Rhinolophus ferrumequinum: one gene and its partners. The protein of the gene in region 3 purifies or fractionates together with the protein of the main gene of each other region. This does not show direct contact. Links are inferred from orthologs where the notes say so. Each region holds a gene or a part of one and is shown on either strand. Other genes may lie near its edges. The genes, in order: SIRT7, LYAR and MYBBP1A.

The links.
Region 1: the proteins of MYBBP1A (region 3) and SIRT7 purify together in Homo sapiens (affinity purification with western blotting; 3 studies listed by BioGRID, with this or other methods). This does not show direct contact. The link is inferred for Rhinolophus ferrumequinum from reciprocal best matches to the Homo sapiens genes MYBBP1A and SIRT7.
Region 2: the proteins of MYBBP1A (region 3) and LYAR purify together in Homo sapiens (affinity purification with mass spectrometry; 3 studies listed by BioGRID and IntAct, with this or other methods). This does not show direct contact. The link is inferred for Rhinolophus ferrumequinum from reciprocal best matches to the Homo sapiens genes MYBBP1A and LYAR.

What each region holds. Positions count from the first base shown.
Region 1 is NC_046304.1:54,691,988-54,700,968, forward strand, and holds the start of SIRT7 (NAD-dependent protein deacetylase sirtuin-7), read right to left. Parts: upstream 3,984-8,981; 5' UTR 3,917-3,983; coding exon 3,824-3,916; intron 3,754-3,823; coding exon 3,616-3,753; intron 3,533-3,615; coding exon 3,428-3,532; intron 1,654-3,427; coding exon 1,583-1,653; intron 1,489-1,582; coding exon 1,416-1,488; intron 830-1,415; coding exon 731-829; intron 660-730; coding exon 423-659; intron 323-422; coding exon 242-322; intron 78-241; coding exon 1-77. Other genes in the region: transcription factor MafG, read right to left, coding at 8,301-8,753, 8,848-8,883. UniProt on the Homo sapiens protein: NAD-dependent protein-lysine deacylase that can act both as a deacetylase or deacylase (desuccinylase, depropionylase, deglutarylase and dedecanoylase), depending on the context. Specifically mediates deacetylation of histone H3 at 'Lys-18' (H3K18Ac).
Region 2 is NC_046288.1:82,854,643-82,864,385, forward strand, and holds the start of LYAR (cell growth-regulating nucleolar protein), read right to left. Parts: upstream 4,053-9,743; 5' UTR 3,889-4,052; intron 1-3,888. UniProt on the Homo sapiens protein: Plays a role in the maintenance of the appropriate processing of 47S/45S pre-rRNA to 32S/30S pre-rRNAs and their subsequent processing to produce 18S and 28S rRNAs. Also acts at the level of transcription regulation.
Region 3 is NC_046304.1:14,119,314-14,129,143, reverse strand, and holds the start of MYBBP1A (myb-binding protein 1A), read right to left. Parts: upstream 3,786-9,830; 5' UTR 3,771-3,785; coding exon 3,507-3,770; intron 3,276-3,506; coding exon 3,180-3,275; intron 2,456-3,179; coding exon 2,372-2,455; intron 2,291-2,371; coding exon 2,216-2,290; intron 2,122-2,215; coding exon 2,014-2,121; intron 1,071-2,013; coding exon 895-1,070; intron 733-894; coding exon 565-732; intron 444-564; coding exon 326-443; intron 1-325. Other genes in the region: GGT6 (glutathione hydrolase 6), read right to left, coding at 5,205-6,244, 6,554-6,667, 6,756-6,955, 7,558-7,691. UniProt on the Homo sapiens protein: May activate or repress transcription via interactions with sequence specific DNA-binding proteins. Repression may be mediated at least in part by histone deacetylase activity (HDAC activity).

The DNA of each region.
Region 1 (8,981 bases), about 41 Mb from region 3:
TCATCCATGAGGAGTTGCATGACGTCATCACACCTCCCGTGGAGCTTCAGGGCAGCCCAGTCATCCTTTGGGGTCCACTGGGGACAGGGAAGGTGAATGAGGACAGCACCTCACTCCTTCCCAATGCCCTGTGACCTGGGCTCTGCTTGGCCAGCCCCCCAAGGTGCATGAGTTCAGGACAGAACGTCACAGGGCCTCCTAAGGCTCAGGGCTCAGGAGGCAGCTCTGAGCACCGAGTTACCTGCAAGTTCACAATGTAGAGCTTGGGCCGCCGGCTGGGGGGCTTGGTCATGCACCAGAGGCGCGGGTATTTCTTCAGAACCTGCGGGGACAGACGGACACAGACCACACGACCGGGGAACGAGGCTGTAGGAAGCTGCTGGCAGGGTACTCCCAGCCCAGCCACAGTGCCGGCTGTGTACCTTTAAGCTGGAGCCTAAACACAGGATCGTATCCGCTTTGCTAGCAGCCTGGGTGGCTGCCTCCCAGTTCAGGGGCTGCCCCAGGGTCCCCCGCTCCCCAAAGTGCACGATGGTGTCCCGGAGCTGGGCCCCACACTTGTGGCACACCCGGCCAGTCTGGTGTCGGTGCAAGGCGGTGCGCTCCGTCACGTCGAATACCCGCACGTACTCCCTGTTGGGGGTGCAGGCCGTGCAGACCTGAGGGGGAGGGCACTGTGAGCAGGAGGCACTGGCCCGCCGCACCCCCAAGGCCCGGAGGGAGCGCTCACTTCAATGTACATGTTTCCGTGGAGCTCCGAGATGGCCGAGCGCGGCAGCCCACTCCGCAGGTGGAGCCCATCGCAATTCTGAGACACCACGTGCTGCACCTGCGGGAGGCGAGCGGGAGTTGGCGGGAGGGCCGTGGGAAGCAGCACCCACCCAGCAGCGCCACTGGCCTGTCCTGAGTCCAGCCCAGCACCCCCAAACCAGAGACAAGTCCAACCTCACATGAAGCCTCGAAGGCAAGACCAGGGCAGCAGGCTGGTCCGAGCAGGGCTCAGCACGGCCGGCCCCAACAAAGGCTGACACACTGGGAGTGTCAGCAGGGTGAGCCTCGGCTGCACGGGGCTCAAGCCCAGGCTGATGCCCTCTTGGGTCAGTTTCAGGTCCCTGAAGACCCAGGAGGATCGACCCTTCCCCACTTGGTTGGAGATGCTCAGCAGAAGGTCTCCAGAGACTTCCTATGAGTTCTAGCTGGGATGACTCAGAGGGGAAGCTGCCCTCTTGAAGAGAAAGCATGGAGGATCAGAGGGAGGCCCAAACCAGGACTCTAAACTGCTTGGTGGGCACGCATTACGGGGGTCCACTGGCCATAGAAGTAGGATGCAGTTGTCACTATAGCACCAAAATGGTGCTCCAGGTCCCACGCTGTGGACACGGCAAGCACAGCAGCTGGCCACACAGGGCTCTTACCAGCTTCTGCTCATGTAAGCGGGCGATGCTCATGTGGGTGAGGGTCGGCTCGGCCTCACTCAGGTCGGCAGCACTGCCAGGTGAAAGGGGGTACAGGTGAAGGGAGCTTCGTGGTCAGGCTCCTGCTGCCCTGCTCCCTCGGTGGCAAGGCTGGGCAGACTGCTTACCTAACACTTCTCCCTTTCTGAAGCAGCGTCCACACTCCATTAGGACCCCGGTAATCTGGGATAGAGGCTGCCTGCATGTTCAGAAAGAAGATAAGCCTGGTAAAAAGGCATCACAGAAGCCACTGACAGAATTCCCAAGGACAGAAAGCATATGTTTCTCCCAGCGTGTTGCAGGCTGACCTGCAGACCGGCCTCTATTCATTCCACAGGCTCAGCATTTCCTAGTCTAACATGCCTGAACCCAGATGGAGAGTAGCCCATGTGGCTCTTTCCCTCTGCCTGGACTCCCGCTCTCACCTGGTCCAGCTCATCCTTCCAGCTACGCTTCCTCTGGGAGCCATCCTCAGTACAGCCTGGCTCTGCAGCCACACCTGTCCTCCACACTGAGGGTGGGACTGGTCAGCCTCACCTGTGTGTCCCCTGGGCCTAGCCAGTACACCAGAAAGATGCAGAGGTGATCCCCTAGGTGGGATCCCTCCTCTGTCCAAATTCTTCCACCTTGATGCTGTGCTTCCTGCCCTACCTTCACAAAGACAGGCCAACCTCTCCAGGTGAGAGATAAACACCACTGAATTGCCCAAGTTCCCAATCCAGTGGAACAAAGCCACGCAAGACAAAGAGAGAGAGTGTGCCAGGATCCAGGTGTTCTGTGCTCCTTCTGTGGAGCCCTGTCTCCTCCCTGCTGCTTACGCTCCAAAAAGTGCCCACCCTGACCCGTGGTTCCGACTCACATCACACAGGGGAAACTCAAACAGCAACACTCACCCCAAATTAATGAGCAGCACACACCTTTAAGTAGGCACCTGAAGCTCTTTCAGAGGTATTATTATTGCTTTTAAATAATCACACGACGGGAGTTCACCCGTGAATGTGGAGGGAGGAGACCAGATTGCCAGGGCTCCGGAGGGTCCGTAAGTCACAACCGTCAGCCCACCCGACACATTCTAGCCACTGCCCTGCACTCATCCCTGCCTCATGTCACCACCCGTAAAATCTTACCCACACTTCGAGGCCCAGACGCAGTGTCACCTCCTACAAAAACCCAGCTGGGATAATTTCCCAGCTGAGACCACGGGGTGTGTGTGGATTTCAATTGTTGACCTAACACAGCCAGCTTCACGTGACAGCTACATGCTTATATGCCTTTTCATGTCACCTGTGGGCTTCTCCAGGATGGAAATCCTGTGTTCACCTCTGCTGGGCCTGCACGCGGCTCACACTCAATCCACCCCATCAGACAGACAGATAACGTGCCACCCACGTTGTCAAAGCAGCTCATACCCATTCCATGGCCCAGGAGAACATCTCCATGGAAGTTTTCAAAACCCAACACACCTCCCTTCTTTGCCGGGTGTACTTTAATTTTTACGGCCTTGCTTTCTGCTTTACCTTCCTTCAACACTCAGAAAAACAATGAACGGGGAATCAGGACACAGTTTGGGGCTTACCTCTGCCCACATAACTTTGGGACAGTAAATTAACCTCCTTGGCTTAAACGAAGAGGTGCCTGCAAGAACTAAGTTATTACGTCCCCTTTCTATTCCTTTTCCTTTCTCGTCGCTAACTGGGTCTAACTCGGACTTCAATCCTGTAAAAACGTTTCTCTACTCAGTGACGTTCCAAATTGAGTCATCTCCGGCTTTTCTAAGAGAGGAAAGAACCTCAGGGCTGCTTTTAAAGTGAGTTTTTTTGCGAACCAGTAGTTTTCCTCAGTCCTTGGGTCACACGCCCAGAAGGGGGCGCCCCGGGCGCGTCCCCTCCAGCCCCCCGCCCGGTGGTCCGACATTCGTCCGGACCTGGGAGTCGACCCGGGCGCACGGCCATGGTCACGCCTCGCCTCCCTACCGTGCTGATGCCCGCGCCAGTGTAGACGACCAGGTATTTGGCGTTCCGCACGGCTCCGGCCAGCTCCCGGACTTTCCGCCGCAGCTCCTCCGGGTCGTCGCACACCTGCCGAGACACCCAGACCGCTCGTAAGCCCCGCCCCCGACCCGGCGAGAGGCCCGCAGACCCGGGCGCCGCGCGGGACTCGCCTCCTCCTGCCGCCGCTTCAGGCCCTCGCGCCGCCTGCTCCGGCCCTGCAACTCGGTCACCAGGTCCGCGCTCTCGGCCAGGAGCCGGCCCTCCTCTGCGCTGCGCTCGGCCGCCGCCTTCCTCAGGATGCGCGACACCTGCGGGCGCGGGGCAGGTGGTGAGGGCGACGCGAGGCGGGGATGCGGGGCGGGGCAAGAGGTGACATACCTGGCGGAGGCGCTCCCGCTGCTGCTCCTCCCGCAGCCTCCGGACCCGCTCGGCCGCCTTGCGCTCCGAGCGGCTCAGACCCCCGGCTGCCATCGCCCCGAGGAGATCCACGCTTCCGCTTCCGCCTCCCGGCAGGCCGCGCGCCGGCACATGCGCGCTAGGCCCTGCCCCGCCCTTCCGGCCCCGCCCGCACCGCCCCAATTTAAGCACCTGCCAAGTCTCTTTAAAAGGTGTTTATTGATCATATACAAAATAAAGAAAACCTTATATATCACAAACATACACTATGTACAGCAATAAATACCCGGGGCCCGGCCCAGTGCCGCCCCTCCTGGACAATAATTTAGCAATAAATACTGCACAGGGCAGGGTGGGCGCCTAAGCGGGCCGCCCTCACGAGGCCCCTCCCCACCTGGAGCTTCGACGATCCCCGCCGCCCGGGCAGATCCCAGGATACCCCCACCTCCCCCTGACTTCAGCCCTAGGCAGGACAGGCAGGGTCTGATCAACTCTGCCTGGACCCACCCTCTCAGCGCCAGGAGAGCAGCAGAGCTGGACACACTGGCAGCCCTTGTCCTGTTGCCCTAAGATGCCAGGAGAAGGCTTTCTGTACCCACTCCCGTTTGGTTAAAGGCTTCCGGGACTAGCAGATTGAGGGGATGGGAAGAAGGGAGGTGCTGGGACACGAGGTTGCTGGAAGGGTCGCTCCTCATAGTTCACTGGGGACACCCACATACCAAGGCTGGGGTGGAAATGTATGCGACTGGCCCAACAGGTACAGCACACGCCCAGGACAGGCCATCAGTCTCGAGGGCACACCCCTGCCTCTGTGTGTCCTCCGCTCTCTGTCCCCATCTGCTCCAAAACCAGACAGCCAACAGGAAGGCAAAAACGCGCCAAAAAGAATTATTCAGTGGCTTCTGGGGAAAAAAATCGTTAATGTGTTGGTTCCTTTCACCAAACCACAGCCTAAAAAAGTAACTTACAAGATCCCAGAGCGGAAACAGCACTGCAGCCTGTGGCTCCGGCTTTCCAGCTGTGGACAGGAGCTTTGGCCAAGTGGCCACTCCAGAGATGGAGGCAGCGGGGACCGGATGGGGCCTGACCACCCGTCCCAAAGCAGGCTATAGATCAGAGCTGTGGGCCGGGCACTGACCACTGAGGCTGTTGCTGACGGTCCGGGTTGTGCACACAGACCGGAAGCCTGGACCAACAGGAGGAAAGCCCGTCAGAAACCAGCACACTTGCCAGCTGCCATACAGCAGCCGCATGTTCTCACCTGTACAAAGGGTAGTGCCACCGGAGCAGCAGCCAAGGGCTGTGGGGAGTTTTCCCTGGGGCCGTACTCTGGGAAGGAGCTGACCTCTTCCCACAGGCTTCTCTGAAATCTAAATGTCCATGTTGGGACAGGGAGGAGTTGGGCGAGGGCACGGTGGGAGCAAAGGTGCACGTTGTGGTTTACTGAGCGGACAAGTTTGGGAGACCTGGCTTTGGCCGAAGCCCTCGATTTGCTGTGTCAGAAAAGTGGAGGGGAGAGAGGGGACACAACACCCTCACAGTAGGAAAACCAAATTAACAAGAATCAGAAAGACACCAACCAGTCACATGTGGACACAGTCTACTGTCAAGAAACCAAGGGGAGGGAAAGGGGTGGAGTGGCCCTGCAGGCCTGGCTTGATGGGAACTGGATGCTCCCCCAGACCCAAGGAGCAGTTGTTCCAAATCCAAAAACCCTGAAAGAAACCACGGCCTCACTAACTCCAGAAACTTCCAGAAACCAAGGCCTTGCAATATGTGTTAACACATGCCTGCCCTCAAACCCTCCAGGTCTACAGCCTGGCAGGGGTGTGCCGAAGTGGACAACGACCTCCCGGCCAGGACAAAAGTGGGGACCGTAGATGGACATGGAGGGTCTGTTCCTCCCACCACCAGGGCAGAACGTGACCTCCCTTTAGGGGCTGTTATGATGCAATTCCAACTCACTGCTGCTACAACCATTGACAACTCTCGTCTGGAGCCTGCGAAACAGACAGACTGGAAGGGGAGGAAGCCACTCTGTGATCTGGAGTCAACAGTCAACATCTCCATTGCAGGCTGACTCCAGTACAACTAGGAACGTCTCTGAGCATTTAGGGTCCACAGAAGCCCATCGAGATGGCAGAAGTTGACAGCACATCCTACTCCCATCCCATGGGCACACTGGGTCAAATTCTGGGATGAAAATCCTGCTGCCCACAAGGTTAATTTAAACCCTACCAGGCAGCACTGATGCACTTCTGTGCTTTTCAGGGGGTCAGGGCCCCCAGAGAAGCCAACCCAAGGAGAGGCCAAATGAGGCCCATGTGGCTGGAGACGGGGCACTAGCCTCCTGGGGAGACGCCACAGGCAGCCCGTCACGTGCCTATGAGCTTCCCACCCGAGTCTGGGAGACTGGCTGCCTCTGCCGAGTGGCCGGGATGGGGGTGAGTGTGGGCTCAGTCCAAGAGAAGCACCTCCATAAGCTGGGCAGTGGATCCCTGGAAGACACAGACCCAAAGGGAGGCGGAAGAAGGCCCAAAGCCGAGAGCTGCCAGCACATTCAGGGGCGAGGAGGGGCAGGACCGGCCCTGGACACTAGCCCTTGTCTGGCACTGGTGGAGACCCCCAGGCCCTCAGGCAGGCAGAAAGGACCGCCCCAGGTGGGCCCCGAAACCACCTGGTTTTGCCTGGGAAGCACCACCCGCAGCATGGAAACAGTCCTGGGACAACTGGGCAGCAGGTCTTGCAACCCCTATGTGGGCCCCTGGGGTTCCCCTGCTGAGGCCCATGTGAAGCCTAGAAGAACAAAGCTGGGGTCAGTGGCCAGAGCCCAAGCACGGTGACTGGACACCAGAAGGAAGACGGCAGGGGCAGCTTGGCCGTGGCCCCGTGGGCACCCACAGTGACTCCTTGGTCCCTGCAAATCCCCCACCCAGGGCCAGAGGCGGTGGGCATGGTAGCAGCATGGGGAGCCCCCGGGATGGCCCCCAGTTTCACCTACCCTGCCAATGGATCAGCCCAAGCCTGAGACACGCATGCGAAGCCAAGGGTCAGAGGGGAGTGGGGGTAGGAGTGGCAGAGCCCGGAATCTGACCTCCTGGAGGTCTGGGGCAGACGCTGAGGCAGAAGAGGCCAGGCTGGTGGGCACCAACCCCCCCAGCTCTGCTGCAGCACGTACCGCCTGGCACCCCAGCCTGAGCCTGGCAAGCCAGCAGAAGCAAAACACAACCAAATCCAAAACAAACACAGGAAAATAGACACAAGAAGTGACACCCACAGGTCAAAGGTCACCAGAAGCACCAGCACGTGACGCTGCACAACACCTCACCAGGCACAGACGACACCACTGCACCGGCAGGAGACAGGAGACGGAAGCAGGAAGGGCAAAGGAGTAAGTCACTTTCGGTACAATTGCAAAAGAGAGAGCAAAGAGGACGTCAGGACGTGCCTTCTGGTCGCTCGCGGCTTGGCTTTTTTTTTTTGTCTTTTTTTTAAACTAAGTTTTATAAATAACATCTGATAACTCTGTGTATATAAAAACTAAACTCCAACAGCCACAAAGACTTGTCTGTAAGTTTACAAGAAAGGGATTTTTTTTTCTTTTTTTAAACTAGCAGTTTCTATTATACTTTCTTCCCTTTTCCATTTATATGGTCAAATGTTCTTGCTTGTTTTTTGTTTTTTTTTTTTAAAAAGACAGTTTTATAAATACTCTGCAGCTCTTTTTTTTTCTTTAGCTTTTAAACATATAATTTAATAACTTCGTAAAAGGAACTTCTCTCTTTTAAATAAAGGGCTATGTAACCACACAAATAGGTCATGTAAACAGTGACACGGGACCCATCGCAGGACACTGGACACACCCTTCACGTACGCTCACAACCAGTGGTTTGGTCTTGTTCAGTGCAATGCGTCAGGCGAGAGTGCCGAGGCCCGGGCCCATAGCCGCACGACGCCCCATCCCCCAAGCACCTAGGCTGGTGGCCTGCCTGTCCAGGGTCCCCAAGGACACCCTCCTCGGAGCAGAGCCCATCTATACCTCTGGCTGAGCTGTGAACTACCCAGGCCCCTGCCAGTGCAGGCGGCCGCCAGAGCCTATGGGACACTCAGCCTAGCACGCTCCCTGCTCAGGGACCCTTGAGCCCCTAGTGTTTGCTCGATCTTTCTGCCCATTCGCACAGGACCACTCTGGACTCCAAGCCCACATGGCCTTAGTACAAAGGGCTGGGGCGGCCCCACGTCACCACCGAACTGACCAATCCCAACATACAAAACACATGATGACAACGACGAGATCAAGGGGCTCAGCCCGGTGCCCCTGGGGTGCAGGTTGTGCTTTGCAGGGAAGGGAGGAGGTAGGAGAGGAAGAGGGAAGGAGAGGAGAAAGGGGGGACAGGGCTGCCAAATTCGCCATGCGCCTAGTGGCCCCTCGAAGACCCGCCTGGGCAAGCGCATGTCCCTACGACCGGGCGTCCGTCTTGGACTTTACTATTGTGATGACGCTGGTGGCGGCCACCTTGCCGGGGACGAGGGGCCCCAGGCCGGCAGCAAGGGGGCCCCGAGCTGGCGCCACGGGGCTGCGGGCCACGGTCCTGGCGAAGTTCTGCAGGGCCTCATACTTGGAGCGCAGCGCGTCCAACTCCAGCTTCATGCTGGCGTTTTCCGACGCCAGCTTCTCCACCTCCTGCTGCAGCTCCGCCTTCTGCTTCTCCAGCTCCTCCTTCTGCGTCACGCGCTTCACGCGGCAGCTGGCGGCGTAGCCGCGGTTCTTGAGCGTGCGCCGACGCTGCTTCAGCTGGATGATCTCTTCCTTGGACAGGCCCCGCAGGTGCTGGTTCAGCTCCCGCACCGACATGGTCACCAGCTCCTCATCGGTCAGGCTGGTGCCATTCTCGCCCGGCTCCCGCTTCACCTGGGGGCGGCACAGCGCACGAGGTCACGGGCTGATGTGACGCCCATCCCTGTACCACCGCAGCCCCGAGACACGGCCCGCCCTGTCTGCTCACCTTCAAGGCCTTGTTTCCTTTATTGGGGGTCGTCATAACCCGGGGGCACAGCAAGCAGGCACTCTGCGAGACAGGGAGCAGAGGTCAGAACCCCGGAGAACACCCCCCTTTCCCTCTGCACCGAGTCACGCCCC
Region 2 (9,743 bases), on a different chromosome or scaffold from region 3:
CTCTCCGGGGAGAACAAAGGCTGGAACAAGGGCCAACACCACATTATCAATAAATAGTCTGTAGGGGCACTTTGGTGTAAGAAGAGCAAACCATTAACTAGTCACCAAGAAATAGATGGCCATCATTCACACAAGATAGAAGCAGCTCGAGAAGCCAAATTATCTGCTGAAAAATGTCTAAGTCTGTTCATCGTGAGAGTCAACAATGAAAAATAGCCTCTCCGAGTTAAGCTAGAGCTTTCTGACCTTCCTGGTCGAGGTCTATTCTGTTTCTTGATTGATTAGGGGGGAGAGGAGACGGTTTCGGAAAGCTGTGACATCCAACTAGGAGACCAGGTCTGTCACAGGTCAGCAATTAAAGGCCTGGGAAAGACCAGTGGCAACAAAACGTATCAACTGAAAGCAGCTAGTGACGTTGACAAAAAGAGGCTGGGACTATCTGTGTCACCATGCGTCCTTCTGGGGATCAGCCACACAGAGTAAACGTCAGTTCAGGAGAGGAGGAGAATTTGGACACCTCTCCAACCATTTTCATTCAGTCTTTTACGGCAAATGTTCACATTTAGAAATTTGTTTCTTTCTTTGCTTTTACAGGCAGAATGAGTAGCTTTATCTCTTAGTGCCTTCTTCAGGACGTTTAGTCTTCCCTGCATTTTCACTCTTGATAGGAAATGGGGACAATGTGGCCGCCTGCCCGCTAATGAGATAGATAAGGCCTGTGAGCAGCTTACCTCTCCCTGATTCGGGTCACCTTGATCAGGCCTCACACCTCACCTAGCCCTCCGGGGATACACTGTCACTCAAGCAGGAAACACCTGTGTGTCTCCGTGTGGGGGAGTGGGCGGGGGGGGGGGGGTAACGGACGGGACGGCACACTGCAAAGAACAGCAAGCTAAAAACCATCCTAACTGCATGGCACACAGGTATCCTGTGCCTCGGTGCAGGCTTAACGATTTCGGAAGTGTCAGTGCATCGACTGACAAAAAGACACCATGTGAACACTCACTCCCTCTTACTGAAAACAGCAAGCATCATCTAAAACAAAAAATTAAAGTTACTCAAATATCACAGGACTAAATAAATGTGGAAGAAATTTAAATAAACGTTCAAATGATGTTTTGGGTAAACTTGTAGCATTTCTCCTTTGGAAATTAGGAAAGCTGAAAACATGCTGCATGAAGACTTTTAGGAAGCCGTCCACTGGGCTCAGATGTCATACATTTCAACAGTTAGCCCCAAGTGTGAAAAGATGGCATTCTTTATGGGGCCGAACCTACACAAGAGTTCCCTTTTCCTCCCTTGGTTCCCCACTCTCTCTGCCCAAGGCCAGGTCCCAATGCAGCCACAGAGATTCTGTGTGCTCGTCCTCCTAGAGATGTGGGCATGTGAAAGAGAAGGGCAAGCAGAAAGCAATGTTTGTGGACCGGTTGAGAGCATCTGTGGGTACTCGGCCCAGGGAAGTCACTGTAATTCAGCTCGGCAGACATTACTGCATGCCAGGTAGGCACTAGGATCCATACACACCAGGTGCACTCCCCCAAAGCAGACCAGGTCCTCTGTGTGAGCTTCTGTCTATTCATCTGTTGGTCAACTTACTGAGCTCTCGCCACGTGTCGTAACCCAAGGAAATGATGATGCATACATCCTTCTAGAACATGACCATTAGCTCTCCACACAGCGATTTCACCTGTACCATCACAACTGCACCAACACCTCCAGAACAGCTATGATCACACCACCTCCCTCTGTGAGGAAACTGAGGCAGCCTGACAGGCCACGTGATAAGCCCAATCTCCTGCCCTGCCTCTCCATCTGGACTGGTCATGTCCTTGGCCGTTACTCAGCATCTGGGACCTTGAGACCCTCATCCCACAAAGGCTCTACAAATGACCTGGCCTTTTAAAGTCTGAGGGCCCCAAGTCTTAATTCTAAGGCCAGCCCCCACTTAGCAAGACCAGCCGTGTCACAGCGGAGGATGTCAGGTACTGGAGAGTGATGCTGAGTGGAGGGGCAGCAGACAGCATCAGTAAAAGGCTGGGAACTTGTGAGGAACTTGGGGCACCTCGGTCTCCTCTTATCAAGATGGTAGCCCCGTGCTGTTGAACTAGGACTGGACTCAGGGCCAGAGGATCTGAGCTGGAGCCTGCATCTGCCATTTAAAAGCTAAATGACCTCAAGATATGCACCCTAACTTGAATCTGTTTATCTATAAAATGGGCCTAATATCTATCTTAGAGCATTGTGCGGAAAGTTAAATAAGATACCAGATGTGAAAGATTCAGCCTTACCCAATGCTAGAATTTCCTGTGACCTATCAATTTGCACGCAATGCTGTTACACCCAGTAACCTCCTAAACCCATGCTTCTTTATATATGACCTCAATTCATCTATCTTCATAAATTCACTCCAGTCTCCTCTGGCTCCCCACCCCATGGGTGCTACTCTACCACCCTGTTCCCTTATAACGTGACCTCAGGATCAGTTCTGGGATCGGGATTTGGAATAATTTTTTAGCCTCCTCCCTCTACATTTTTATATTGTTTATTTTCTACAAAAACTACACTCACTAATCTTAAACCATTCTCTCACACACATACACACACAGACCTAAACACCACCACCACCACCACCACCACCACCACCACCACCACCACCACAACAGCCCATCTGACAGGCCAGGCTGGCAACCTCAGCACAGTCACCAATAGGCACTTGGACCTCAAGCTAGTCACCATCCCGTCTGAACTTCAAGTTCTTCCATCTCTGAAACAAGGGATCAGGCCCACTAGACCAGCCCTGAGCCCCTACCCAGGGTAGAATTCCAAGAAACTCTGGGATTTCTTGGACAGACGAGCACATACTGTCCACCATCCTGTCTAAACCCCGAATGTGCGAGTGATGAGGGTCCAGATGTGCTTTCATGCAGGAGCTCTCCCCTGCTCTTTGCAAAAACCCTAGGAGGTAGGTACACTTGTCTCCACTTAACCAATGAGCAAACTGACACTGGGAGTGGTTAAGCCAAACCTCACCCCTCCCCACACATTGCCTCACCAGCCTTGTTTTAAACAGCATCCCTTCACTGGTGTAATAACCATCTGTGGAAGTCTACCACTTGTCAGGCTCCATGCTAGATGCCAGGGGGCTGGGGGTGCTGTACGCACAAGTCCCAAGCGGACCCTCTCTGCAGGAAAGTGAGCCTTGCAAATACACCCCACCTCGTCCCCCTACCTATTTCCTCAGAGGAAGGAGCTGCAGAAAATCCTGACATTTACTGAGCACCTACTACATGCCAAGCCGTCATAGATGGTTAACACGTTTGTGTTTATGTAATCCTCACAAGAGTCCTCTGAGTTAGGTTCTATACTGTTCCCTTTTGACAGACAAGTGAGGCACGAAGAGATTAAGTCACTTGCAGCAGGTCACGCATCCAGTTAGTGGTAAACCTGGATTCACACGCAGTGATTCGAGCCCTAAGAGCGAGTCCCGTGCTCTCAACCACTACGCCCCAAGGCCTCCTCCGGAGGGCCCGAGCTCCCCAAGACTCAGAGAAGACAAGAGCCTTGTCCCCAACATGCAGCAAGCCTGAACCCCAGGCCAGCGGGAACCAAGCGTCCCGCTTGGCCCACGACAGAGAAGGTTCCCGGCACAAGAACCTTTCCGTTTTAAAACCGGAAATAAGTGGTCATCCTAAATCCAGGGCTCCTTCCACTTCCCCAGAGCAGAGCACCAATAAGCTCTGCAGAGATTTCCTCCCTCCTCTACGTGTGTGAACCAAAGGAGGGGCTCGCAGGGTGGAAACGCAGGCATCGGCCATACTGCCCCCTCCCCTGCCCGTTCTCCAAGCCCGCCCGCCCCCCAGGTCGGACCTCTGAGCCTCTGCTCCTCACCTCTCGGCGGCCGTCCGCCAACAGTTTCAACCGGCCGCGCGGAGCACGTGGAATCGCCGCCGCTGCCTCCGCCGCCGGCCCAGCGCCGCCGCCGCCTCGCTCCCGAGCTTCCCCGCGCAGAATTCGTTTCCGAGCCGCCCCGCACGCCTGCGCGCTGCGGCTGCACCGCCCGGCGGAAGTGACGGCAGCGGAAGCCGGAGGGCGGGTCCGGCCGGCCGAGGGGGCGTTGTCGCGATGGTTCCGCGTCCCCCGGAGCCCGGCGAGCGGCGCGGAGGGCGTCGCGGTAGGTGAAGAGGCGGAGGCCGGCGCGGAGCGGTCTCCCGGGGTAAGGTGGCCGCCGGGTCCGGAGGCCGCCTCGCGAGGGCGTGCGGGTCCCGCGCGGTGGCGCGGCCCCGAGAGCCGGGCGGGGCACGGACTCGCCGTCGCCTCCGCAGCTCCGGGCACCGCGAGGGTCTGGGGGAGCGGTCGGGTCGTGAGGGGGTTAAGCAGCCCCGGCGCCGTGCTCTGGCTCCGGGACACAAAAGATCCGGGCGTGCTCCTGGAGCCGGCCGTGTCCGTGTGCAGCTTCCTCGGCCTGGGAAGCCCACCCGCGTCCCCGCCCGGCCTCCCGCCCGCTCGGGCACTGCCCGCGTGTAGCCCCCGATCCCTCCCCGTCCGGGGCTCCCCGCGCTCGGTTCCCATCTCCCTCTGCCTCCCTGTGGTTGAGAGCAGTGCCCACGACCGCAGACCCGGCCCAGCGGCATTCCCGGGTGGACTCGGCGTGCCTCGGCTCCCGTTTGCACAAGGCGTGCAATGGCAGTGCCTGTTGCGTCGGGGTCTCGCAGGATTTCTCGAGTGGATGAATGTAAAGCACTACATCGCTTCGCCGTTCTTCTCCGGTCTGGCAGACAGGGGTGGTCACTAGGTGTTCACGGCTTCATTGGGTGACTGGAGTATGGACCGAGTACTGTGAGAAACGGTAACCCTGGGGTGGGGGTGGGGCTGATAAGGGCGGTTTCACTCTGGGACCAACAGTGTTGGGCCTGGAATAGAAGGTGTAGCAGTTGGCGAGGGCCGCCATGACGAAATACCGCCGACCGAGTGGCTTCAACAACGTTTATTTTTCTCACAGCTCTGGAAGTGGTGTCGCGGGTTTGGTTTCTCTTGTCAGGGCCACCTTCTTGGGGGTCCTCACGTGGTCTTTCCTCTGCATGAGCATCCCTGGGGCTCCTTTTTTTTTTACAAGACGTCAGTCAGATTGCATTAGAGTTTTAACTTCATTGGATTGGATTTTAAAACCTCTTTCAGGGCCTGATCTCCAAACACAGTTGCATTCTGAGGTACCGAGGGGGTTAGGGATTCCGCATATGAATCTGGGGGGGATGCAACTCAGCCCTTAACAAGGAATTCACCAGAATGGACAAGAAGGGAAGTAGTTGCTGACAAAGGTGACAGAGTGGCCAAGAGGTTGAAAAGCAGGGTGCTCAAGGCATTTTTATGTGCAGGGCATGTAGGGGTGCCTCATTCTTAGTGGCGCTCTCCTGCATTTTCTTTTTTTTCCCCCTATTTGCTTCCCCTGAAAACTCAGGGTGAGCTCCCTGCTTTCTCTGGCAAACTTAACTTCCAGATTTCAACACAGATGTCTCTTCCTCAAGGAAGTTTTTCCCTAACCCTCCTCCCCCAAATTAATTTGTGCTTCCTCTATTTAATATCTGCAGTGCGTTGCTACTCTTGTTTCTCTCACTTCACGAAGGCATGGATGACCGTATCTGAGTCATTCACCGTCGTGACCCTCCGTGCCTGGCATCTAGTGGACACTAAAGTTAAGCGAATGAGGCCCAAATTGAGACAGACTGTGGAAGGCAGGGAGCATATCTCATTCAGTTTATCAGCATTCCATCCTCACGACAACGCTTGCACATAGTAGGCCCACAATACTGCTTCCGTGAATTGGCCCGTGTAGCATCAGAGTCAGTATAGAGCTAAGACAGGAATCCAGGCTTGTTTGCTTGAAGCCAGTGCATTTGTCATTGGGGTTGGGAACAAGCCATTTGAAAACCATGATGGCTAAAAGGAAGGTAGCATCACTCTAAGGCAAGCTCAGTGCCAGGTGCATGAGCTGTGGACCCTTGGAGAAGTCATCTGTCAACGGCCCCACTGAACAGACTTGCACAGATTCTTTCCTCTGGTGTTTGGCCAGTTGGTAGATTGGACAGAAAGGTTTGCTTTGCTGCACTAGCCGTCTCTACAGGGTAGATAGAATTCCATGCTGGCTCTTGTTCCTCTTCGTTCACACCTGCCTAAGCTTTTCTTGTGTGTTTCTCATTTTCGGTTCCCATATTTTCATTGTTTTTTATGCCACTCAGTCCATCTTTCCGCCGTCACATTCTTGGTACAGATGTGTAGTGGGGCTGGTCTGGAGCGTTCACTGTGTCTTTGCTCCCATATCTGGTACCGGGAAGGGCTGGTGGGAGGCTGGGCCCAGCTGATTCCTTCTAAGCTACTCCATGTATTCTCTCCAGTAGGGCGTTTTACAGTCTGACTGCCGACGCAGGCCTTCCAGAGCCATTGTTCCAAAAGATGGCAGGTGGGAGCTTCAGCTCTTAGGGCCTGGGCCCAGAAATGAGCACAGATGTTAGATTCAAGGGGAGGAGACATAGATCCCACCTTCCCTGGGAGGAGTGTCAAAGAAGTTGTGGCCATCTGTAATCCGCCAGGTGCTTCTCTGTCTTCATCTAAAACTGAGGGAATAGTTGTACCTATCTTACAGTTATTCTGATAATTAAATAAGTTAACAGGTGTAAAGGGCTTGGAATAGTGCCTGGTGGCATATAGGAAACATTTTATAAATATTTGTTGTTAACTTTTGTTGGGTACAGGATACATTATTGCTGACCGTTGTCACACAAAAGAAATATAAGCTACCAATTCTTTCTCTGGAGCTTTTTATAAGGGAGGTATAGGATTAACATCATGAAGCAATTAGAGAATTACACTAAGCAATATGGATCATTATAAGTTTTATAGTCAAAGTAAATTGTGGAATGCTTCTGAAGTTTGCATATCATCATAATTCTCAGGGTCATTCCAAAGAATTTTTCCCTTTATCACTTCTGTATAGCTAGAAAACGTCTAATGTAGATTCAGAGTATTTGCTGCCTGTTAACATTTAAGTGTATGGAGGAAGGTTTTGTGTTGTGCTTTTTATATCCTTTTTCTCGTGGGAGACAGCGTAGCCTAAGAGCATAGACTCCAGGGTTTAAGAACCAGGATTTAAATTCTGGCTTTGGAACATAACAGTTTTATAATCATGGGCAAGTTACTTAAACTCCCTGTTTCTTAATTTCCTCACTTGTAAAATGGTATAGTAGGATTCACGTTGCACTATTTTAATTAATGGATATAATATGCTGAGCACGGTGCCCAGCCTGTAATAAGCAGTCAGTAAATGACAATTAATAATAGTGAACCAAGAAGCCTTTTCTTCTCTGGCAACCGGTGGGGCAGGGGTAGGTAACTGATTGCTGCCATTTGGCTGTTCAGGACCGTGGAGGATTCAGCACTGGGGACAGTGCCCCACCGTCCCACATAATGCTTCCCTTTCTGTATTCTTGTTCGGGGGTAATATTATCCACTCCCAGTGCTGCAGTGTTGCTCTTTATAGATCACACCACCTCCTCTAGTCCTGGCTTTCTCGGAATCCCACCCTGATCTCGAACGAGGAGATCACGCCAGCACCCCAAACTCTACACACCAGAAACTAAGCTTTCCATTAAGAAATAGGGGACTCAGAAAAGGTATAGAGCGGAGGGTGAGATGATGGGGGTAAGTTTTGGAGATTCTGAGTTGAAAGATCATACAGTTGAAGATGTTTAGTGAAATGTTGGGCGTTTGGAACTCGTGGTCAAAACTAAAGTTCCAAATTTAGGACTCGTCTGCGTAGAGCAGATGAAGGCCAAGAGCAGATTTGATTGTCAAGGGAAAGAGAAGAGGGCTCAGGGGCTGAGCTTAAGCGACATTGATATTTCGGGGGCTTGCAGAGGAAGAAGCACAGCAGATCGGGGACATAGTAAGAGAAGCAGAAGCATTCTTGGGGAGGAGGAATTTCAAGATAGAGACAGACAGACTACATGACCACTTGCTGCAGGAAAGCTGGGGAGACTGGGACTGAGGACAGGCAATTGTGGGCAAGTCTGTTTCAGCATCTGAGTGAGAATGGCAGAATGTTGCAAGGTGAGAAAGGGTCTTAAGAAAGTAAAGCGAGATGTGTAGATGACAATTGTGAAAGTGTGAAAAGAGGCCTGTGATGCATAGATGTACCTAGTTGGGAAGGTTTCGTTGTCCTATTTTGTTTTGCTTTTGTTCAGCACGAGGTGAGCTTGGTGTGTTTGTAGGAACTGGTGAGCCGGTGGAGGACCGAGGAAAGCAATGAAAGGGGTGGTGATGAAGCAAAGTCTCGGGGGAGCCGGGAGGAGCTAGAATCAAGGGGAGAAGGGACACTTCATCCTGTGGAGCTGACGGGGCTGAGGGAGAGGTGAGTGGGAACTGGGGATTAAGAAAAGAAACTAAAGGTTATAGCAAGTTATCCACGGGCTACCTTCTTAGTGAAGTCAGGGTCACGGTCACTTTTATGGATGAGGGCGACAGACATGGTGAGAATGAAGAGAATGGGAAGGATTTAGAAGAGCTATCGTGAGGAATGTAGAGGGAGTCAAAAAGACATAAATAGAAAACATTACTAACCATCATTAATGAGCATGAATTTTAACGGCCCGGTATCTGCCACGTGCCAGGCAAAGATGAGTAAGATGGTACCCTGAGAACTCACAGCAGAGCTGGACACACAAATGATGGAGCACAAGTTATCTTCTGGAAGTGTGTAGGGGTGCTTAAGATCATCCCAAAGAGGATAACCCCGAAGTCAGGCTTGAGGAGCAGCAGTGGGGAAGAGGGAACATGTTAGGAGTGGCAGGAAGGCTCCTCGGAGTTGCTGACAGCCGAGTGGGCATTCTGTGGAAGGTGGGAGACTCAGAAGTAAAGAAAGTATTCCCAGGACCGGAAGTAGCAGAACCAGAGGCTTCTGGAGGACAGAGCAAGGCAGAGAGGGGTGCAGTCCATCTGCTCAGAGCCCTTGGATGCTTACAGTGCACATGCCTGGGCCCCACGCTCAACGGGGCGGACGTCTGGGGCAGCGTCTGGGGCAGCGTCCGGACGGTCCTTTTTAGCAGGCTCTCCAGGTGTTCCTCAGAGGGGACGTTTGGGAGGGAATACTCACACGTGCCAGTCGCTGTGGTGATGTGTGCATGGTTCTCGGGTGTATCTCAGTGACCTGTGAGACAGGGCGAGGAACGCAGGGCAGGGAGAAGCCATTGCCCAAAGTCACGTCACTAATGACAGTGGGCTCGGGCTCCAGCACTGGCCGGGACACAGCCTGTTGGGGGCTGCGGTCGTTCATTTTGGCCGGCACATCTGGGAGTAACAGGAGGTGAGGTGAAAAATACTGGTGGCTATAAGGGGAGGGGCCGTGTGAAAAGGAGGAGATTTGTGGCTGCATGGTGTAGTGACTTTTCTCAGTAAGGCGTATGCACTGAGAAGGAAAACAAACAAAGCAGAGAGGGGCTTCTTAGGTTTTCAAAGTACTAAAGTGTCGCATTAAGCTCCGTAGTCTCGGCCCAATCGGACTTCATTTCTCCCCCACAGGCACGCCTCAGAGATACTGCGGGTTCGGTTCCAGAGCCCCACGATAAAGCGAGTATCTCAGTAAAGCGACTAGTGACTTTTTTGCTGCTGGAGGGTCTGCCTGTGATTTGTTAAAAACGCAGCGTCTGTGAAGCGCAATAAAGCGAAATGCAATAACGCGAGGTACGCCTGCGCTC
Region 3 (9,830 bases):
CTGGACATGTCTCTGCTGAGGGGCCCAAGGGCAGAAGGGCTGACCTAGTCAAAACTCCATTCGCGGGGAAACAGTCGTGGGGGGCTCAAGTAGCTCACTTTACCCAGAGGCAAGAGACCCAGGTCCCAGGCCCCTCTCAACAGCAGCTATGCTTGCCCATCCCAGGCAGGGGCTGAGGCAGGAAGACCCACTATTGCAGGAGCAAAGAGCAAGCCTGTTTTCTAGAAGCTGGCTGATCGCTGAGGCAGCCTACCCCCTTCCTGAAGGAGGCAGCCGGGTTGCCCGGCCTTTTCTGGCAGTGTAGGGCTGCAGGGGCGGCACCCACCTTAGCAGTGACCATGTGTTCCCCGTAATGTCGGATCAGGTCCCCTCGCATCACCAGCTGTAGCTGCTCCTTGGACAGCAGAGGCAGGGCCGCACCCAGCAGTCGGAAACACAGGTAGCTAGGGCGGTGCATGACAGAGCCTGGTCAGAGCCCTGTTTCCCTGGTGGCTCTCAGGACTACCAGCCCATCCCTGCTTAACAGAGAAAAGGGGGTGGAGAGCAGACAAGCACCGCACGCACCTGGCTGGCCAGAACTGCTTCTGTAGTAGCCCTTGTTCCACAACTTCCTTCCAGAACCGTGGGAACTTGTCCTCCTCAAGTGCTAGGCGAAGCAGGTCCAGAGCCACAGTGGGCAGCTTGCGCTCCTTCTTCACAGAGGCAGCGGCCATCTTCAGCACAATCACCAGTCTTTGGAAGAGGGTGGAGGGGACTCAGGGGGCACCCACTGAACAGGTAAGGGCCAGGGCACCCAGGGAAGCAGGGACACCCCCCAAGCCATACCACAAAGCTATGGATGACCAGATGCAGCCCCTCGGCCCCAGGGAGCCCACCCACCCACCTCCCTCACACCTGGGGATATTCTCATCTGAGAAGAGGTCGACCGATCCCATCAGCTTCTCAAGCTTCGCGGGCACCTTCTGATGGGCCAAGAGGAAGAGCTCCAGGTGCTCAGGGGAGGCAAGTACTGAATTCAAGTCGACTTTGAGGACCTTCGGTAGGATCTCCTGCCACATAGCCTCTGGGACCTGAGGCGGGGACAGGTTGAGGGACGGTGGCTCTCTCACAGCATTTTTTGTCTCTCCCCGTTCTACCTGCCAGGCTCCCGTGAGGCCCCTGGCACAATGCCAGTCTGAGGTGGGATAGCCACAACCTACCCTGCCAGGCATCAGAATCATGAGAAGGATATTTGTTAAAAACCTTAAATCCCCAAGTCCCAGGAAGCTGGGTTGTTCACAAGCACCCCACTGATGCTAACTGGCCTGGGACCGCCATTTTAGTTCTCCTCTATTGGGTTTTTTAGGACTAACCCATTTCTTATACAAGGGTCCCCAAGTGGAGAGCTGGGGTTCAAATTCAGGTCTTCCTGGCTCTGCAGCCAGGGCTATGCAAAAAGCTGGGGCCCAGCTGTTGCTGTCCCTGCCTTTTCCTCAGTAGTAAAGGGTCCCAGGTACGAGCCTACCTCCATTCCCCAAGTAGGGCAGTGGGGGCCCTTCAGGGGCCAGCTCTACTCAAAACACATAGCAAACACGTTAGTATACTTGCCACGTGCCCGGCACTGTTCTAGGGCTGCACTGTCCTATACGGCAGCCATTGGCCACATGTGGCTACTGAGCATGTGCTCACCCGAATGGAGATCGGCTGTAACTGTAAAATACGTACTGGCTTTGGGAGCCTTAACGTGACAAAAAACAGTGTAAAACATTCCTACAACTTTTTATACCGGTTGTATGTTGAAAGAATGCTTTCAGTTATATTTTAGATAACTGAAATATAAAAGTATGAGATTAAGTATGTTACTAAACTATATTTATTTCTTTTTACCAGTTCAACACGGTTACTAAGAAAATGTCAAGTTACACACTTGTTTCTGTGCTGCCCTAGAGTGTTTCCGTGCGCTAACTCACGAGAACTTCTCCATGTTTCTATGAGTAGCGCTACCTGAGGTCCCACAGCTGGTTAAGTGCGTACCTCAGAGAGGATGTCCACCAGGGCCTTCTGGGGCTGCTCCTGCAAGTGGTTGTAGTACTGGGCCAGGGCTTGCAGCAGCTTCACCGACTTCATCAGTGCCTCTGAGTCCTGGTACCCACAAAGGGGGAGAGGGTATGAGGACATACCACGGTCCCCACCATTCCCAAGCCAGTCCACATCCTCGTGTCCCCAAAGCTCTTACCTTCACCAGCCTGCCCGACTGAAAGAGGGCTAGCACCCCAAACAGGTTTGCAAAGAGAGCGGGTCTCATCATGGCCTAGAAAAGGATTCCAGTGAGAAGGGCCCACGTATTCCCCATCCCGGGTCTGCTGACCTCCCTGAGGCCACTAACTCTCACCTTCTTAATTTTCTGTAGGTCATGTTTCTCTTCTATCTGTTTCAGGATGCTGCACAAGGGGATGTCTTCGAAAGACTGTAACAGCTGTCAGCAGTTGTGGCAGGAGGGAAAGAGGGGCACAGGGGAATGGCACAGCCACATGCCAACAGACTGCAACCTCCTCCCACTTCTCCCTGCAGCTTCTGCTCGGAGGCCTCGGGCCCCTGCTCCCACCCTAAGGATGCCTCTGAAGCTGCTCACCCCCTCTGAGCAGCGCTAATAATAGAACATGCTGCCTGAGTGGAGCTGGAGCCTCCCTGCCTCCCTGCCCCATGCCTACCCCGACTGCAAAAGTATCTCCTTTGGCTCCTCGATTGTTCAACTGAGATTCCCAGATACTGTATCCCCACAGCCTGCCCTGGGCACCCCCAGGCTGATCCTAAACGACTGATCTTTACTGCCCTTCCGATTGTCCAAGTTCCTCAGAAGTGGCCTATAATTAGCTAAGTGCCCCTTCCGGGGAGAGAGCCCTGAACCTGGCAGAGGTACGGAAACCCACTCCAAAGCTTACTACCTCAGTAAATGTCAATCCAAAAAGAAAACTGCTCAACCTCCTACTCCACCTGCAGGGGCTTCCCCATGGACAGGCTTCGCTTGCTCATACACCTCCTCCACGTGGGAACTCCTCCCATCAGCTCAGATGCTACTACCCCCCATCACACTTCTCCCTCAGACCACTGACTCCTTCCCTGCTCTGAGACATCTGCCCTGCTCACTCCCCACCGTTTTGACCCGCGTGGCTGGGACCTTCCAGGAGTCACCACCTCACCTGGGCCAGGGCCAGACTGTAGCAGGGCCGGGCGGTTTCTCGTCCAACCCCGAGCCCAGTGATCAGGCGCTTCAGGGCGTACTTCATCTCGGATCCCTGCGGAACCACGTGCATTCCCGGGTCGACCAGTGACAAGAATCGCACTGCACCAGCCCACCCCCGACTCTTGGCCCGCGCTCATCTGGGCATCCAGGTTCGCGACCACATGCCCCCAGTCCCAATTCCTGGGGTCCACCACCACCTCAGATGTGGGCCCAGGAATTGGGACTGGGGGCATGTGATCGCGAACCTGGACACAGCCCCCTGCCCCAGGCCCTGCCACCATACCTCTGGTCTGGTGCGCAGATACTGCAGGAGCTTCTCCGTGGCCTGAAGCCGCGTCTCCTGTTGCGGCTTCGCAATGTCCCAGAAGAAGTCCAAGAACTCGCGGCTGTGCTTCAGCAGGCCCTGACGGTCGGCGGGCCGGGCGCCGCTCTTCATCGCCTCTCCAGGAGACATAGGCTCAGCGTCGTCCTGATTCTCCGTCTGCGCCATGTTTCTGGAACACGTGGGCTCTGAAGACAGCCTCTTCCGGGTCAGATCGCGGCGCATGTGCGCTGGGTTGGGTCGGCTGGGGGCGGAGCCGGGGCGGGGCGGAGCCGGGAGGGGGAAGGCGCTGGCGGGGGGCTGGGGCGACCCGGTCCTTCTGCTCTTCCTGACTCCAGGAGTTCAGGAATTAGGACTTTTTTCTGAGTGCGGTGGGGTTATTGGAAGGTTTTATGGATGGGCTGGGCTTGATTCTATTTAAATTTTTAAAAGGTTATTCTGCAGCTGTGTGTGGGGTATGAATTTATGTAGGAGTGCAAAGGTAGACGCAGGAAGAACAGTTAGAGATAATGGTGGGTTGGACTAAGGTGATAGGAGAACAAGTAAAATTTCAGCTAGTTTGGAGCTGGTAGGAGGTGATGGGTGTGGAGGGAGAAAAAAAAGAGGGATGCCAGATTTGGAGCTAAAATAAATGGGTAGATTGTGGTGCCATTTACTGAGCTCAGGAAGAATTTTCTTTGCTGGGGGAGAGGTGGAGGTGGTGGGATCAAGAGTTCTTTTAAATCAGACATACCTTTTACAATGTGTGCGTGAGGTACTACCGTGTTTCCCCGAAAACAAGACCGGGTCTCCTATTAAATTTTGCTCCAAAAGACGCATTAGGGCTTATGTTCAGGGGATGTCATCCTGAAAAATCATGCTAGGGCTCTTTTCCGGTTAGGCCTTATTTTCGGGGAAACACAGTACTGGTCACCCCCGTCGTGGACTTGAGAAGCTGTCCCTGGACAGTTGTAGTGAGAGAGACCCTAGCCCTCGGGGAGGTTAGCGTTGAACCTGGCCTTTAAATTCCATACACCCAGCTCTTGCCTCTTTTGTGCCCCTGGGGCATCTCCTACTCACCCTCTCAGCCTCTTCCTGGTTTTGCTGTCTGCTTTAGAAAGTGAGATTAAGAGGTTTATCTTGGAGGTGTAGTGCCCTAGGAGGCAGGAGGTGAGTAGAGCAGGGGGAGCTGAAAGACACCAGCCCAGGCTCTGTCTCTGGGTGAGGGTCTCCTGTGCTGCCCATTGGGGAAGCCCTGACACCAGGCACCTCAAAGACTTATGGGAAATGAACCAAGAAGCAGGAATGGAACATGGAGTCTGGGAGACTTGCTTTTTATTTTGTTTCCAGCCTCGTTGGAGGAGATCAGAAGAGGGTGGCCTGAAGGAGAGGGCGGAGAGGCCAGCAGCACCCCTGGCTCTGCTTGCCCTGCCCACGGGGTCCTGAGCCTAGGCAGGGCCTTGGCCTTCTCTTACCTTTCCTTCCCAGAGCGGGATCTGAACTCAGGGCTGACCCCAGGCCCTGGTACTCTTTTCTTATCCTCAGTTTCCTTAGCTGAGAAGAGCCAGTTCAAGTAGCTGAACAGGCTAGAGTTTGAGTGCCTGAGCCAGCTGTGAGCGCATGATTGGTGCACACTTTTTATGCACTCCATCGCTGCTGGGTCTGCTCTGCTCCTGCCCCTCAGAACCCCTGGAAGGGGCAGCAGCCATTGGGGACACTGGAGACGTGGGCATGCTCTGCATGGACTGCCACCTGGAGCACGGTCCCTTGGCCACACAGGTTGGGGCTCTCTGTTGGTCCTTGCTGGGCTTGGTGCTGGTGCTGGGCCTGGGCTTGGAGCCCGGCCAGGTGGCTGAGCAGGGCGCGAGTTGTGACTCTGGCCACTTCAGGGGTCCCTGAAGCCACCAGCCCCAACACGTCGGCTTCTGTGTCATCTAGGCTGGTACGAAGGATGAGGGGGCAGGACCAGGTACTAATTGCAGACTTAGCTACCAGGTTGCTGAGTAGAACCCCAGTGCTTGGGGACAGGTGTCGAGAGCCAAAGGAGCTGTTGAGTGAGGAGGTGAGAAGGAGCACAGAGCCGCTGCTGTCCACGGTGGCCAGGACGCTGCTCATGGGGGTCACAGTAGCTTTTTGGGGTAGTAGGCAGGGGTCAGGGCGGGCCCCTCTAGACTGTAGGGCTGCCTCCAGCAGTGCCTGCAGTTCTGGGCCAGCTGAGGGGCTGGGGGTGGTGAACAGGATGCCCTGGGCCAGAGGTAGCTGCAGTGCTGGCTCCAAGGTGGGCATGGGCTCAGCTGAGGACCCATCCAGCCCCAGGTCTCTGGCCAGCGGACTCAATAGGGCATCGTTGGCAAAGTCGGGGGTTGGGGCAAGTGCTGCCCTGCGTAGCACGTCTGCCAGTTTTGGGTTGGTGGCTCGGGCCCCAAGGCTCAGGGGGGTCCCGTCAGTGTGGCAAAGTAGTGGACAGAGACCCTTTGTGCCCTGGGCTGCCAGAGCCCTGGCCAGGGGCATGTCTACCAGGAAGCCCTCTTGAGCCAGGGTGGTGGGGCCCACCAGCAGGCGTGGCCAGGGCAGGCGGCCGAAGTGTGTGTGCAGCAAGCGCAGGGTAGGCAGAGCCGAGGGCATCCCCAGGCCGGGGGCCAGTGTCTGGACTGGGCCTGATGTCAGGGCAGTTGAATTGCCCGAGGAGCCATTGTGGAAGAGGCCCCAGAACATGGCACCTGGGGGAGACAAAGGGGTCACACATGGGTCAGGGGCACTGACTGGGGTCAGGGTCACTCTGTAGCCCCAGGTAAAGGGCAACTGACTTAGCCTGGGGTCAGAAGTTACTGACTAACTCTGGAGACCCACCTGGGGTCAAGACCACAGAGACCTGGGATCAAGGGTCACAGCCTAGAGTGGGGATACTGGCCACGTCCTAGGTCATGCTCACTAAACAGCCTTGAGGTCAGGCCCACTGAATGCCTGGGTTCCAGGTCACCAATGAGGCCCAGGGTTGGAGTCGCTGTCTGGGGTTGTGGGTCACTGACCTAGGCCGGTGGCGTGAGGATGCACCACTGCCAGACACAAAGCTGCTCCAATTCCGGCATCCACGACATTGCCCCCAGCAACGAGCAGCTCTTGGCCCAGGTGGGAGCACGCGGCTGCAGCAAGGAAGGGACTGTCATGGGGAGGGGCCTGGGTCCAGTGACCCTGGCCCCTCCCCTCTCCCGAGCTGCTCCCATCACTGACCTGCAGGGCTGATGATGGCACCGTGGTGGTATACGCCGGGGCGGTGGGAGTGCCCACTGGGTCGAGGGGCAACAGAGCCAAAGGTTTCTGTAGAGCTACCCCTGGTGTGGAGTTGCCATGTGGCCAGGGAGAAGCCAACAACCAGCAGCAGCAGGGTGGCAACTAGCTGGGCCCAGATCCCAGGCCGAACACCACCTTTCCTGCAGAGAGGGGTATCTTGAGCCAGGGCTGGGGTAGGAGGACACCCATGAGCTCCAAGAAAACCCAGGGACTGTTTCCGGAAAGACTGAACTTGCTTGCAAGAGGAATATAAGTTTGCCAAGGAGAAGGGCCTCTTGGTAGATGGTGTAACCTAGACAGAGACGTGAAGATTGGGGAAACTGAGGACAGCTAGGGAGGGATCTCTGGAGAGAAGGTTGGAGAGGCAGGGTTGAACCTGGCTGGAGGCAGGCCTGACGGGGGTTTGGCAGGCTTGAGGAGCAGGGCCCGGCCAGGTGTGGCCAGGCCCCAACCTGCTCAGCAGGTGCCTCCTGAACTAGGGGGTGGGGTCTGGGAACCTTTGACAGAGCAGCTGGCAGGGCTGGCTTGGTACAAATTTTCCTTCAGACACAGACCTTGGGTTGACTGGCTCAGGCCAGATCTGGGGCTGCAGGTTCCCCCTATTCAACCAGAAAGTTCCTGGAGCTGAGCCAAGCACAGGGTTGTGTGACCCAACCCCCCTCTCCCCTTACGGACCCCAGAGGGAGGGACTTACCAGCTGTAGGCCCGAGTTGCCAGGTGCCCAGACCACTCCCTGACTCACCCATAGGAGTCCTGGGACTTCCAGGGGTCGGGGACGAGTAGCTCTGATATCTCTTCCTCTTCCCCGTCAGGCTCCAAGCTCGGCTCCCAGAGCAGCAGCTTTTGGTAGACCACAGGCTCTGCTGTGACTTCCATGGCCCCGCGGTACCCGCCTCAGCTCGCCTGCCTGCCTGCCAGCCTTCCCAGCTGAGTCTCAGGAGGCCCTGCCCAAGCCAGGGAGGTGGAGGCAGCCTTAGGGAAGGGTGCCGTGGAATCCAGAACAGGTCTAGGCAGGTCATGGGGCCAGCGAGGCTGCGCATAAGTCTGCCCCATTAGGACACAGGGCCGTAGGGGCTCATGGCCGGGCACTCTGTCAGCGGACATAGCTCGGTGGACACAGCCCTTGGGCCACAGCCATAGACCCTGAGACCCAGGATGCCCGCTGGTTCCCTTTCTTAAGTGATGCAGCCCCTGGATCCCCTGGCCTGTTCAGGACTCTACTCTAGGGACAGTAGAGCTTGAATTGGAACTACAGTTACATTGTGGCTTGAATCAGGGCTCAGCATGTGAGTAGGTTCTGCTGTGAGGAGGTGTTTGGTCTCTAGCTGGGGTCAAGAGTCAGCCTGAGGCCCTGCCAAGGATCTGGGTTTGTCTGGGGAGCAACTAGTGGTGAAGGCACATCATGTGGCTCTTGTCCAGCAGGTGGCGCCACAGGCCTCTTGGGGACCTGCAGCCTGGAAACCATGTTTCCAAGTTCCTTCACTCTGTGATTCACATCAAGGACCCCAAAGAGTGCTGCAGGACAAGTTATGGACTTCAGTCATATCCATTCTGTAGTCATCTCTCTGCTGACCACTCTATTATGACCACTTCAAACCTTCTCCCTCTTCCCTGCCTCAAACCCCAAACCCTCCGACTTGCACTCTCAGTGAACCATCTTCCTCCTAGATCACATGGACACATCAAGACTGATGGAAGGAGCCCCCAATATCCACCCCTTCCTACAAACCCACCTTCCACATCGCTCTCTCCTCCCCATCTGATGCAATGGAAAAGCTACTCTCTGCCTCTGGTTCTGGCCCAAACCTTTCCACCTCTTGCCTCCTGCTTCCCCAGGGACCTCACTCTCTTACTGACCCCTTCTTTCCTGTAGCTTCACGTCTTCTCTACTGGTTCCTTCTCAACAACTTTTAAACGTCAAGTCGGGAATAGGCTTGGTCAAGACGGCGGAATAGGTAAACGCTATGCTTACCTTCTCTCACGACCACATCAAAATTACAACTAAACTACAGAAAAACCGGCATTGAGAATCACCTGAAGTCTAGCTGAACTGAAGCCCTACAACTATGGACATACAGAAGAAGCCACCTTGAGACTGGTAGGAGGGACAGAAACATGGAACGCGCTGGTCCCACACCCACATGTGACCATTAATAATCAGGAGGGATTAATATTCCATTGTGTATATATACCACATCTTCTTTATCCAATCATCTATTGAAGGACCCTTTGACTCTGGGTGGTGAGCACACAATAGAAAAATAAAAATCAGGAGAGATATCCCAACTGCGGAGGTTTCCACTGAGGAATGAGGGGTCCAAGCCCCACACCAGGCTCCCCCGCCCAGGGTTCCATTGCCAGGGAAAGAAGTCCTCATAACTTCTGTCTCTGAAAACCAGTGGAGATTGTGGCTGAGTGAGATGGAGGTCTCCTAGAGTCCCAGGGGCTCCTCTTAAAAGGCCCACTCACGTACTTACTCCCTGATGGACTCAGTTGCTCTGAGTTCCAGCGCTGGGGAAGCAAATCGAAAGTCGCCAGGGACAGGGAGGAACTGAGTTATCTGGCTTCAGGGCGATGGCTGGAGGGGCAGTTTTCTCCCAGATGGAAGAGCTTGCAGAAGCCATTGTTTCTTTGATGAGCCCTCCTCCCTCCCGTATGTGCAGCCACAGGCGGCTGCCATATCTGGGTCTCTAACAACCTGGCTAACACCCTTTGTTCACCCAGCTCTGGTGATTCCTGGAAATCCTGCCCCACCCAACTTTCGAGCCTACCCGAGCCTCGTCTAGTGGCTTTTCCATACAAATGGCCTATCTAGGATCATACTGCGGACTTTCCTAAAACTCCGAAAGGTTCACAAAACCCAAATAAGCAGCATCTGGCTTGAACATGTCCTGTGCCTCTGGCTGAGCAGCCCGAAGCCTGGCACTAGCCATAGCCAGCCTCAGTTTTCGGCTTGGCCTCTTGAGGCACCTCCAAGCCCAGCGTGGGTGGTGGCCATCTGCAGCTACTGCGGCT